3 linked regions of the Struthio camelus genome follow. The protein of the gene in region 2 binds, or shares a complex with, the protein of the main gene of each other region. Links are inferred from orthologs where the notes say so. Each region holds a gene or a part of one and is shown on either strand. Other genes may lie near its edges.

Evidence for each region. The genes of interacting proteins can lie anywhere in the genome.
Region 1: TIMM21 (region 2) and SURF1 share a complex: the UniProt entries of both Homo sapiens proteins name them as parts of the MITRAC (mitochondrial translation regulation assembly intermediate of cytochrome c oxidase complex) complex. The link is inferred for Struthio camelus from reciprocal best matches to the Homo sapiens genes TIMM21 and SURF1.
Region 3: TIMM21 (region 2) and COA1 share a complex: the UniProt entries of both Homo sapiens proteins name them as parts of the MITRAC (mitochondrial translation regulation assembly intermediate of cytochrome c oxidase complex) complex. The link is inferred for Struthio camelus from reciprocal best matches to the Homo sapiens genes TIMM21 and COA1.

The regions. Positions count from the first base shown.
Region 1 is NC_090961.1:5,153,302-5,157,048, reverse strand, and holds the start of SURF1 (surfeit locus protein 1), read right to left. Parts: upstream 2,872-3,747; 5' UTR 2,747-2,871; coding exon 2,708-2,746; intron 2,321-2,707; coding exon 2,239-2,320; intron 2,115-2,238; coding exon 1,987-2,114; intron 1,602-1,986; coding exon 1,519-1,601; intron 650-1,518; coding exon 458-649; intron 128-457; coding exon 55-127; intron 1-54. Other genes in the region: SURF2 (surfeit locus protein 2), read left to right, coding at 2,915-3,094, 3,453-3,607. UniProt on the Homo sapiens protein: Component of the MITRAC (mitochondrial translation regulation assembly intermediate of cytochrome c oxidase complex) complex, that regulates cytochrome c oxidase assembly.
Region 2 is NC_090943.1:108,128,425-108,132,171, forward strand, and holds the start of TIMM21 (mitochondrial import inner membrane translocase subunit Tim21), read right to left. Parts: upstream 2,615-3,747; 5' UTR 2,196-2,614; coding exon 1,895-2,195; intron 1-1,894. Other genes in the region: FBXO15 (F-box only protein 15), read left to right, coding at 3,489-3,589. UniProt on the Homo sapiens protein: Participates in the translocation of transit peptide-containing proteins across the mitochondrial inner membrane.
Region 3 is NC_090943.1:60,050,341-60,054,087, forward strand, and holds the start of COA1 (cytochrome c oxidase assembly factor 1 homolog), read right to left. Parts: upstream 2,738-3,747; 5' UTR 2,667-2,737; intron 2,075-2,666; exon of another isoform or gene 1,883-2,074; intron 118-1,882; exon of another isoform or gene 1-117. UniProt on the Homo sapiens protein: Component of the MITRAC (mitochondrial translation regulation assembly intermediate of cytochrome c oxidase complex) complex, that regulates cytochrome c oxidase assembly.

The DNA of each region.
Region 1 (3,747 bases), on a different chromosome or scaffold from region 2:
TTGGTATTCACTGAGTAGAAAGTAATAGGGAAAGCTTCCCTCTGTTCCTCTTACCTGTCCCTTTAGCCTGGTCTCTGGTTTCAATTTCTTTTTGGGCACAAATCCTCGGTTGACTAAAATCGTGACGCTAGAGTTACATAAAGAGGACAAATACAGCTCATTAGAGAAAGGAAATTGTTCATTATTCCTGCCGCTGCCTAGAGCTTGGTAGCGAAAAAAAGAAGCAACCCATATGTTTGGTGCCACTTTTTTGTCATTTGAGTGCACGTTATAAGGGATTTCAGATACAACTTGGAAGCAAGCCTCTGCGACTTAACAGGTTGTGAGAGACAGAGACCTTTTAAAGGACAGTGAGTGCTTCACATAAACCCAGCCACTAAGATTCAGCTCGGATAAAGCATGACTTTAATTAACTACACATACACATGTTCTCAGGCTTGTGCATGAACACACTTACCCTAGGTCTGTGCAGTAGAAAGGAGTAACTACATTTGCTCCGTTTTCTGGGTTGGATGTCAGCCGTCCGGCTTCTCTCGCTTCTCGTTCAGGGTCCACAAGTGACCGTGGCAAAATATAGAGCTCCTTGGAGTGGTCAAAATGCCCTCGGACCTTTACAGGCCTGTACTCTAATTCTTTCAGTTCCATAGGGCTGCATGGAACAAGGTGAAAACAAAATCACGGCTGTGGTAGACAGATCAAACCAGGGAATTTTATTATGGGATTCTCCTTCTCCCCATGATTTTCTCTAGGTCCAGCTGGCAAACAGAAAGAGAAGACAAGTACCTCCTGGTATAAGCAGCTTGGCTTAAGATTTTGTTACTATCATAGTAAGTCAAATCACTAAGATCATGAGCATCTAGAGCACAGCTCTTTTCCATGATATCTGTAACTGAATACCACTTCAGTGATGCACACGATGCACACAGCGAGACAGCAGGTGACACACTGCGTGTACATCATGCCAACAGGGAGCATTTCTTTCCCATCCCAGACTGTGAAATAGAACTACTGAACTGTGTTGACAGTTGTACCATATGGCTAAAGTGACCTTAAAACTCTCTCTTGTATCTGACCCAACTGCTCTGCACTTGGGGCAGAGCTTGCTATCGTTCTAAGACTCCCTTGCTGCAGGAATACTGTACAGCAACAACCAATCTTTCTTCAGCGGTGCTCAGTAACCCCCTCCTCTGGGACATCTTGGGCAACAACTCCCAAACCCTCTTTCTCCAGGCTGAATTACATACCACAGTCTCCAGAACAGAGATTTGACCCCTTTAGATGCCTTTAGAGTATCCCACAGGGAGGTGTTTGCAATATGCATTTGAAACAAGAGAACGAACACGACTGTCTATCCTGTGAATTTGCTTGCGCATTCTGATTCCCATTGCATTTCTTCATTTGCATGCAGTTTAGTTTAACATAGACTACATGTTGTAGAGCGTAGGGACCATAACTAGTACCCCCAGCACACTGGCAGTACTTGGCAGACAGCAAACTGCAACATCTCAGCTTCCTTACTCTAATGTCAGAGGGATGGGCTCTGCTGCAATTCTTGACGCCAACTGCGCAATCAAATCCAATTTCCACTTTCGTCGCTGAACCTGGAAATACACAGAGTAATTCCCACTGGTAGAACAGAGCAGTGTAATAACCTGGCAAGGCTGAAAACAGAGTCTGCTTCTTTTATCGGTATTTTCTCTTCAGATGTGGCCTAAAGCAACATAATTGCAGATTCAAAAATGGAGGCTACTAACTTCATTTGGGGAGAGAAGAAATACTGACATAAAAGTAAAATAAATGAATCTCTCATTCAAAGACTTACATGAAACTCACAAACGGTAACTAGGAAAACTATATATGAAAAAGTATCTTCCAATCTTTACCCTGGCTGTGGTGTGAACTAGCTCACATTAAACAGCCGAGGATGGAACCACCAGACAGCCCTTAAGCTCTTCTCTCATGGAAGAACGAAATATTTATTTGTACCTGCCATGTGCCAAGGCAGAAGGTGGTCAGAGGGACAAGGAGAAGGCCCCACTTGAGTAAGACACCCTCTTCAGATGCGCCAGCGGCTGCTGTAGAGCTTCGCGGTCTGCACGGCCTCAAGCAAAGGTCTGGAGAAAACCAGAACGAGGAAGCGGCTTCGTATTGCAGAAAAGGTGCCAAAGTCCCGCAGAAAACGTCACGGCTGGAGTAAGGCAGAAACGGGGCGGACGCCTCGGCTAAACCTTTCCTTACCTTTAGTGCGCTGCAGCAGACCAGAACGCGCTTCAGTGAGAGGACATCCGAAACATGCTCGTCTGACCAAGCCACAGGACACCTACGGGAAACAAAAACGACCCTTTGCAGTGACTCCGCTCGGCGACGTTTGCCCCGAGACGGTGCCAGCTGCCTCCAGGGTGGCAGGTTTCGTTTCCTGCTGTATTTAAGCCTCCTCTGGGCAACCACCGGCCAAGCACCACAGTTTAGGCTGTAACTCCGAGGAAATGAAACTCCACCCCGCTTACGCCGCTCACTAGACCGCGACAAACGCTCTCTGCGCTACCAAACCGTGGTTTGTTTTTTTTTTTCCCAAAAGGATCGGTTTTTAACCAATCCACCTGGTGGCGTCCCGCAGGGGGACACCAGGCCCGGACCGGGGCCGCCTCCCCCGAGGGCACCGAGGGGGGCACCGAGGGGGGCGCCGGGCCGCCGCCCCCCGCCGCACCTGGGCCCGGGGCTCCCGCAGCAGCCGCCAGGTCGCCATGGCAACGCCGCCGCCGGCCCCTCGCCGCCCGCCCGCCTCCGGCCTAGACCGCCCGCCGGTCGTGCCGGGTAAGCTCCTCTCTAGCCGCCTCTCTCTATGCCACCGGCTGCTTTCCGGCGTGGCCCGGACCGGAAGTATAGGCGAGCTCCTGTCTAGCAGAGCGTCTCTATGATGCGGGCGCCGGGCGGCGAGGCCGAGGCGCGGGGCCGCGCGGAGATGCCCGGCGGCGATGGCGGCGGCGGCGGCCGCCCCTGCCCCTCCCCGGCCGCGGCCATGGCCGAGGTGCCCCAGGAGGTCCGGCTCTTCCTGCGGCAGCACCCGCTCCTCGGCCTGGCGGAGCCGGGCAAGGTGAGGCCTGCGCTGCGGGGCTGAGGGGCCGCCTCCTGCGAGGGGGCCCTGAGGGGGCAGCGGGACTGCGGCCGCCTCCGTGAGGAGCCCGGGGGGCGGAGGGGACCGGGACTGGAGCCGGCTCCCGTGAGGGGGGAGCGGGGCCGCCTGCCCTGAGAGCCACGGGGGGACCGGGGAAGGCACCCCAGCACCTGGGCTCTGGGCTCGGCCCCAGGTTGCTGCCTGGCCCGGAGGTTTTTCTCCCCGCTGTGGGACTGAGGCCATCAGGGAGGAGGGCCCTGGTACGAGCCCTCCCCTCTGCAGCCCGGCCGTCATCCCTTGTGCTTTCCTCACTTTTATCCTGCTTGTCTTCCTTCAGGTGAGATGCAGGCTGACCGGCCACGAGATGCCGTGTAGGATGTCGGAGCTGCAGGCTTATACTAATGGCAAGAAGTATCAGAGGCTGACAAAGACGGCCAGAGAGTTTGACTATGGCAAGTTTGAGCCACATATAGTGCCGAGCACAAAGAATCTGTACGTATTCTTCCTCTTGCATGTTGTGCTTCGCACCTCATTCAGCCTCACAAATAGAGTGGGTGGCTTGCGCGAAGTTCTTGAGCGTTTATGGTTTTTGATAGGTGAGGAAAGTCTTTATAAAGTATTTGTTAGCTTTG
Region 2 (3,747 bases):
GCAACTTAATTAGATTTTGACATGTTCCAGATTGATGAAATCATGATATTCACTGTACACGTCTCTGAAATCGTTTTTAGTTTAGTGTTATACAGTGATGTGAAATGAAGCGTTTCAACTCTGCACTCAATGTCTAGGCTAGGTCACCAAAACATACCACCTGTGGGCAGCATTCAGAGCAACTTAATCCAGTCCCTCTCTTTCCCCACAGCCCGTCAGAATGATCTATGAGTTAAATAAATTGCTCTGGTGGCAACATATAACAAAGGATGCCTCGTTTCCCATGATCCCACAGATGCAAGGCCACTTATATGAGAGGCAGTCTGGCTAGGTAACAAAGAGGGAGCTGTAGGAAAGCAGCAGCTAGAAATAGGTTGTGGGTGCTACAACCATTCCTCTGACAAACAACCTGCTCTACATTATTGAGCATCTGTTTCTTAACAGCTCAAGCAGATAGGGGAAGATGGTACTATATGTGTCCTGCTGGCTGGGTGATCTGGAGAAAACTCCGTCTCAAGCCCTGCTGCCTCTTCAGCCTGAGAGGAAGTATTGTTGCATGGCAGAACGTTGAAACATATCTCATTACTGTTGCAGTGGTTGGGCAGGATATTTTAATCCAGATGAAGTTATCCTTTACAATCAATGTTAAAGAGCTAGAAAGCTAGTGAGACCAGATCAGTCAAGTCTTGGTGGTTTTCTGGGTGATTTGTGTCAACCACAAGTTATTAGGCTAAATAGCAGGACTACTAGCTGAAACGTAAAGGTTTGCTGCATACCAGAGGACAGGTTAGATCATCTACTGGTACTCTTTAACCATGAATAGTATGACATTACAGAAGAGTAGGAGGACGAGTAACATTTCAACAGCAAATTTTTTCTGTGCACAGTTTGAGAACTATTCCCTTTTGTTACTTATGTTGAAGATTAAAATAGATTTTAATCCTCAAGAAAAAAAATGTATTAACAAGTTAAGAACTGTAACTAATGTTAAGGTTAGCCTGCTGAGCTCATTAAAAACAAAACCAAAACAGGGGTACCTGTGACAGCAGAGGACTAAACTGAACGGTGCAGGTAGAGATCTCCTCAGTCATCCACATAGAAACATTAGCCGACTGCTGCAGATCTTACAGGGAATCAGCTTCCTGTACATTAGCTACTCAGAGTGCTGAACCATTTGTCAGCTAGCCTAATATATAAATTCTTTGTATGCTGAATTCATCTGTTTTTTTCCATTGGAATTAACTGTTAAATTCAATCACACTGTACTAATATTACAAGTACAGTGTAAACTCTGCATGAGTTGTCTCTGGAAGCGGAAGCAAATTACCCAGGCAGCATGCAGTTCCAAGCAGACTAATTAACTCGATGAACAGGTGAGGAGAGAAGAGAGTGAAAAAAAAATGCAAGATAAATTAGCCAGTATTGAGCTAAATGGAGAATTACCTGTCACCTAGTAAAAATCTCATTTATGATAGAAATATTTCCAATAACAAAGAGCTTTGCCAATTTTACCAGGAGTAAATTTGGTTTAGCAGCATCGAAGATGGATTGTGTGCAACAGGTCTTCCTTTAGAAAATGGAAAGGAGAGGTTACCATATCTTACCCCAGATGTGGCACGCTCTTGACTTAAACACTAAAAAGGTGTTCGGAAGAAGCCACGGAATTTCTATTTTGCTTGTGTAACACACCCCCTAAAATGTGTCAATTGCTGGAAACAGCGTAATGTAAAAAGAAAAGGGCGTAACTTGCCTTTTTTCTGAGAATCACAACTTTTCAGCTCCTGAGTTCTGGGGCTCTAAAATCTCAATTGCAACAACGTCTGATTTCCTACGGGTCAGCCTTTTCAAGTATTGCACACTATTCCCACTCACTAGTCACTACAGGCCGTCTTACCTTTCTGAGCAGCCGACAGAAGGGTTTCTTGTTTTTGATCCCTTTGCACTGACATCTGTTTGCTATTACCACCAGATTTTCCAGCTCTCAGACCCCCTGCTTGCGTCCAGATATTTTGTTTTGCATCCTGCAAAAATCCAAAAGGGCGCAGGGCAGGCTCCCTGCGGGGGGGCTGGTGCCTCCACCTCAGGCACCAGGTCGCCGAGAGCACCCTTCCTGAGGCTGCGAGCAGCCACTTCCCCGAGGAGACCTGCAGCTTTTCGCCGCACTGCCTCGCTCGCACAAGAGAGGCAGAAAACATGCTGAGGCAAAAGAGACGGCTTCAAAACGCTATTACCCAAGTGTGATTTATGCTAAACTAAAAGTTTCTCCTGCGTGCCACCGCGACCCGTCTTCCCGGGTCCTCTCCTCTACAAGAGGGGCACGCAGGGTGCCGCAGGGGAGCCGCCCTTAAAAAACCATCAGTGCGGTCTCCTGCTCTCAATTTTGGCCTGCAGCTTGCGCTTCGCTTCAGAAGTTCACGTTACCCCTTTACTCGCGGACAGCTGCGCCTCGCCATTGTCCCGGCGGAAATCTTTCGGAAAAAGTAGCAGCGGGCCCTGGGAAGGGTAGTTTATAAAAACTCCCTCTTGCGCCCGCTACTGAAAACGACTCACAGGAAAGTAACTACAGCGACCGCGATGCAAAGCGCCGACGGCCCGGCCGGGCCCGGCCCGGCGCGGCCCAACCCCCCCCGAGGGCCGTTAACCGTCAGGGGCTGCGTGCGCGCGCCGGCCGTCGTGTGCTTCCGGCGGCCGTTATTGTGGTTGTTTGTTTTTTTAATCTGTTTTTGCTTTGCCCGGTATGAAGATTTTTCAATAATGTCCAGTATGGTGCAGAGGTTTTTTTTTTTTGTTGTTTTTTGTTTAGGAACAATCAAACTAATGAAATGTATCATTTTTGCTCATTAAATCCTGCTTGCAAGTGCGTTTTTTTTTTTTGGCTCTAGAACCTGATGGAAATAAGATCTCCTTATTTAAAATCTGTACGTGTCCCGGCAGTCATGGAGCCAACCACCTGTCAGAGCAAATCCTATTCGTCAGTTTTGCCCTGAACACGTGTTTAATCTTGTTTTTCTTTAAGAAACGCATACATCACAAGAGTCTGCATGCAAACGTATAAGCCACATGTAAGAGAGATATATGTAAAATCTCACTCAGCAAATAAATATGATGAGTTAGATTACCGGACAAGATTTTGCTGCACCTTTCCTAAGGAGCTTCACATCGATAAGGAACTTAACGAATCGTTAGCGGAAAACGGGCGTTAATTTAACGGGGAAGGTCGAGTTCATACGTTGCGGCGTCTTACTGTCACTGTTCCGCGAAGCAACTGTAGGAAACGCTCAAATAACGGCTTGCTCTAAACAAACGGAGGCGCTGCCTGGGAACTCACACGAGTTCCTGCCGCAGGTCCTAAAACAACCAGCAGCTCAGGGAGAGATTAATTGTTTTTCCATCTAGCAACGCTCCCTATCAGGCGCCATCTTAGACGCTGCGCGGCCCCCGCGCAGCCGCCGCTCCCCTCCCTCCGCCCAGCGGCGGCGGAGCTCGCTATGGCGACCGGCCGCGGCCGGGTGCTGCGGCGCTACAGCCGCGGCGGGGCGCGGGCGGCCCCCCCTGGTGCCGCGCCGCCCTGCCTCGCCCCCGGGCCCAGGTAACCGTCTCCCTGCGCCGCCCGGGGGGTCGGCGAGCGGGCCGCCTTGTCGCCGGGGCGGCCTGGTGTTTTTTCTTCCCTGCCGTTGCACCTCGGGGAAGCGCTTGGCCCAGCCGCGCTGCTCTGCTTTCCAGCCCCGGGCTTGCTGCCACTTTAGG
Region 3 (3,747 bases), about 48 Mb from region 2:
CGTGGCCTTTAAATCTGTATCTCGAGATCAGTTATAATTCTCAGAACAACCACAACTAGGTTTGCCATCACATAATCCTCAGAGCCGCTCTAAAGTCTGTCCTGCAGACTTCCTTAGGTAAGTTATTCTGGGTCAAATAAGAGAAACTGTTGTGAAATAGCAATGCTTGAATGCAGCTCTGGCGTTTAGTAGGTAAGTCACATTCATCTGTGTTGAGTAGCCTGTGGCAGGTATAAACTAAAGGTCAAGTGCCATGTTATTGGAGAAGACATGCGTATGCCTGTCCCTTTGGGTGGGTGACAATACTCAGCTATAATATGCTAAGTCTAGTGAAAACCCCCAGCATCAGTTCTTCCTCCTGTTATGCTGGGGTCAGATCTGCAAATGTAAGGATTTATTTTACTCTTTTTGCTACTCCGGCATTGAGGCAAAACCCCAAAACTTGTATTAGAAAAGTGGCCAAGATAAGTATGTTTCAACAGCCATGCAGAGCCTCCAACTTCTAGGCAATAACCAGCTTTGAAGTGAAATATGTACTGCAATAATCCATGCACACTTCATTAATTCCAGAACTGCAACAGCAAAGTGCTACTTAGAAAAAGCTGCAAGATAGTAATGAAGGGTTTCGGTTTTATTTTTCTTCTAATCACAAAAGCGCCTTATCTCCATTCTCCATGTTTTTTTTTCATTCAATTTACAGGAATCCAAATTAAAGCTCATCTAACAATAAAAAATCACTTTATTACATTTGACTAACCTTTTCATTCCCCTCTTGGTGAGAATCCCTTCTGTCTTAGGGGAAATAAATGTAATAAATTATTATGTTATCTTAAACTAGCAAAGTGTCAATTGTTAAGATGTTGAAATATCCAAAATCAGCCAGTGAACATATAACATAAAATGCAAAGAAAAGTTAAGAAGTTGAGGACCAGCAATTCTTTTCAAGTGTTAACTAAGAAAAAAAAATCTTGATGCAGCAGGCTGCCAAAAATGCAGTATTTTGTCATCTCTGCATCAACATGCACACATCTGTCTTTTCTACGTGAACCTCCATTCAAGTATGAAAAACTTCAACATGGGCTACTGCATGAAATGAAATCTTGGTTTACCACTCAAATTTGTGAGTCAAAGCATAGACTCAAACCAAAAGGCTAAGAGTCAGTTTAATGCAGCACCTAAGCATGGCTGTTTCTGCTGAAAGAGGTGCTCTCGCCCCTTCTCCCTCCCTCCTGCTGGACTGCATAGCTGCAGGGTTTTGCAAGCTGCAAATACAACGGAAAATCAACTTTCAGATTTAGGGATCCGCTTGGTTTTTGATACAAACCGTGCAGTGGCTGGGGCAGTGGAACAGGGCCATCTTGCTGTGACAGCCTGCTATTACTCCAACCTGTGAAGCTGGCCTGAGGGGGGAGGCTCACGTGTATGGTTCAATACTTTATCAAAATCAGGCAATCCTGCCCACTCTGCACTACCCACTCGCTTATGGTGCTTTAAGAGTTCATGTAAATCAGCAGAAAGTAATTGGTCTGGGTTAAAACCAGGCAGGCCGGGAGGCAGGGGGAGTTTGCTGAGTTAGTTTCAAATCAGATCAGGTCTCCCATCTGGTTCACTAGGAAGAAATGAATGAAGTACACCAAACCTCAGAGATGCTGCTGTGTAAAATATTAAACGTTTTAAAATGATAAAATGTACAGTAAAAAGGGATGGGGGAAACTAGTCTGGTTTAGTGACAAGAGTGATCTTAACAGGAGGGCTTGGATTTTTAAAAGGGGGGGGGGGGAGAAATAGCAATTTTTTCCCTTTGTGGCATCAGAATGAATATTAAATACATGCTTAAGGAGCATCAATCACTTCTCAAGCTGTATGTGAGTGACAAAGTAAATCCGGCCCGAGGTTTCTCGGTAGGTAGACAAGAGTCACCACGGCTGACTTGCTTTAAATTCACGTGTCCCCGCACCCCCGTCGCCCTCTGCGTACTGGGGCCCAAGCGACTGCATCCTGCGCCTTCTCCAGCTCATCCTCGCCAGCACAGGCCCTGGGCAGCGCGGCCTCTGGAAATGATACTTATATTTATGTAAGTAGCCGAAACCAGCCTTAGAGGAAGCCAGTCCTCAGAGCTTTATAATTACTCAACCGTTTTCGGCTTATTGGCTTTTGCTTAAAGCCTACGAGATGCATCTGCCTCGTGCACCGTTTCTAAAAACAGTTAAGATGTATTTAAATATAAAATTACCATTAAAACTGTTCTAGTAATCGCGCTGTGAGATGATGTGCGTGGTAATTACTGCGCTGCCTCATCCTCTTACTCGGCTAAGCCTGCGCGCTTCGCAGGAACTGGGACACCTGGCTGGACAGCTGTTCCGGGCCTAGGTTATCTCACTTGCATCTGCACCGCTATTGCCTTTTTTAAACACGCCCGCGGTTCCTTGCATTCAACACTGCTTTTCAGGTGTGCGATCGCCTTGAATGTAAACTCCCCCCCCCCCCCCGTCTCAGCCCCCTCGCTGCCCCTCCACCCCCGCTCCCCACAGCTCCCCTCCAGAGCTGGCCCCGCGGCCGCCATTTTGTGCAGCGCCGAGCGCGCCAAGGGAGGGGGCTGGGGCCCCGCCCTAACGGCCGTAACCGCCCTCACCGCGCCCCGGCCCCCGCTGCCCCCCCCCACTCACGGCGCGGCGGTCGACAGAAGGGCTCACGCGTGGGCCGTGGGAGCCGCCATTGCCGCGGGCTCCGACGCCGCCAGGGGGCGCTGCAGGGCGGCGCGGAGGGAAGGGGAGGGCCGGCCGGCGGGAAGGTGGCTGCCGCGGCGGCCACCGCCCCGCCGGCCCTGGCTCCTTCTGTGTTTAAACTAAGGGGATATTTTTCCTAGGGTCCTGCTCCTCGGGGGCTGGGCTGGGGGTTTCCTCGGTCCGTGCCTCGCCCGTTCGCTGCGGCCGGAGGAGGGTGGCCTTGGCCCTGGTGATGAAATGAGTGGGGGCTGCGGCTTGAGTGGGCTCCTTGCTTTCTCGGGGGGGGGGGTGGTGATCTGCGGAAAAGGGTTTTTCTGTTGCCTGTGACTATCTGGTTAAAACACTGTAAGTTTGCTTTGTTTTTCCTCAGTTGCCTTGTGCTATTCAAGGGCAGCAGGGTATAATACTTGCTGGCAAGGAGAGTTAGCAGCGGAGAGTCTTGCAAGCCTGTGTAGAGACAGCTGCGCCTTTCGGCCAACTTCCGCGGCAAAGTGCAGGCTGCTGTGTATCCAAAATCCTGCCTGTTCAGAAACAATAATCCAAAACACAAACTTCCTACCTTGTTCTGGAAGTCATTCTTTTTTTGTGCTACTTTATTATTTTTCCAGGGCAAGCCCCAAAACGGAATATTTTAAAAAGCCACCCGTACGCGTTAGAGTAAAATAAACAGTTTCGGTAAGCATCTTTTCAGCAGTCGAGAGAGACTTGGGTTTGAATTTTAGATCCTGCCTGGGAACTGATTCCACAAAGAGATAGGCGTGTTTAATTTAATTACCGCTCTCTTCTGCTTATCTTTTCACTCTAAATAATCCCCCATCGTTGTACCGCATAACCTGGTGTCACTCACTCTTGGAGCGTATTTAGTAGGCTTTCTAGCGGTGTAACTGAGATCAGCGTTTAGGCTTGAGCGTTCAGTAAAGTGTATGTGAATGTTACCAGATTACAAGGTCCTGAGTACCAGGCTCACAGAACCCTTGATTCATCTGAAATTAAAATGACGACTGTCCCAATTTGAGAGTGT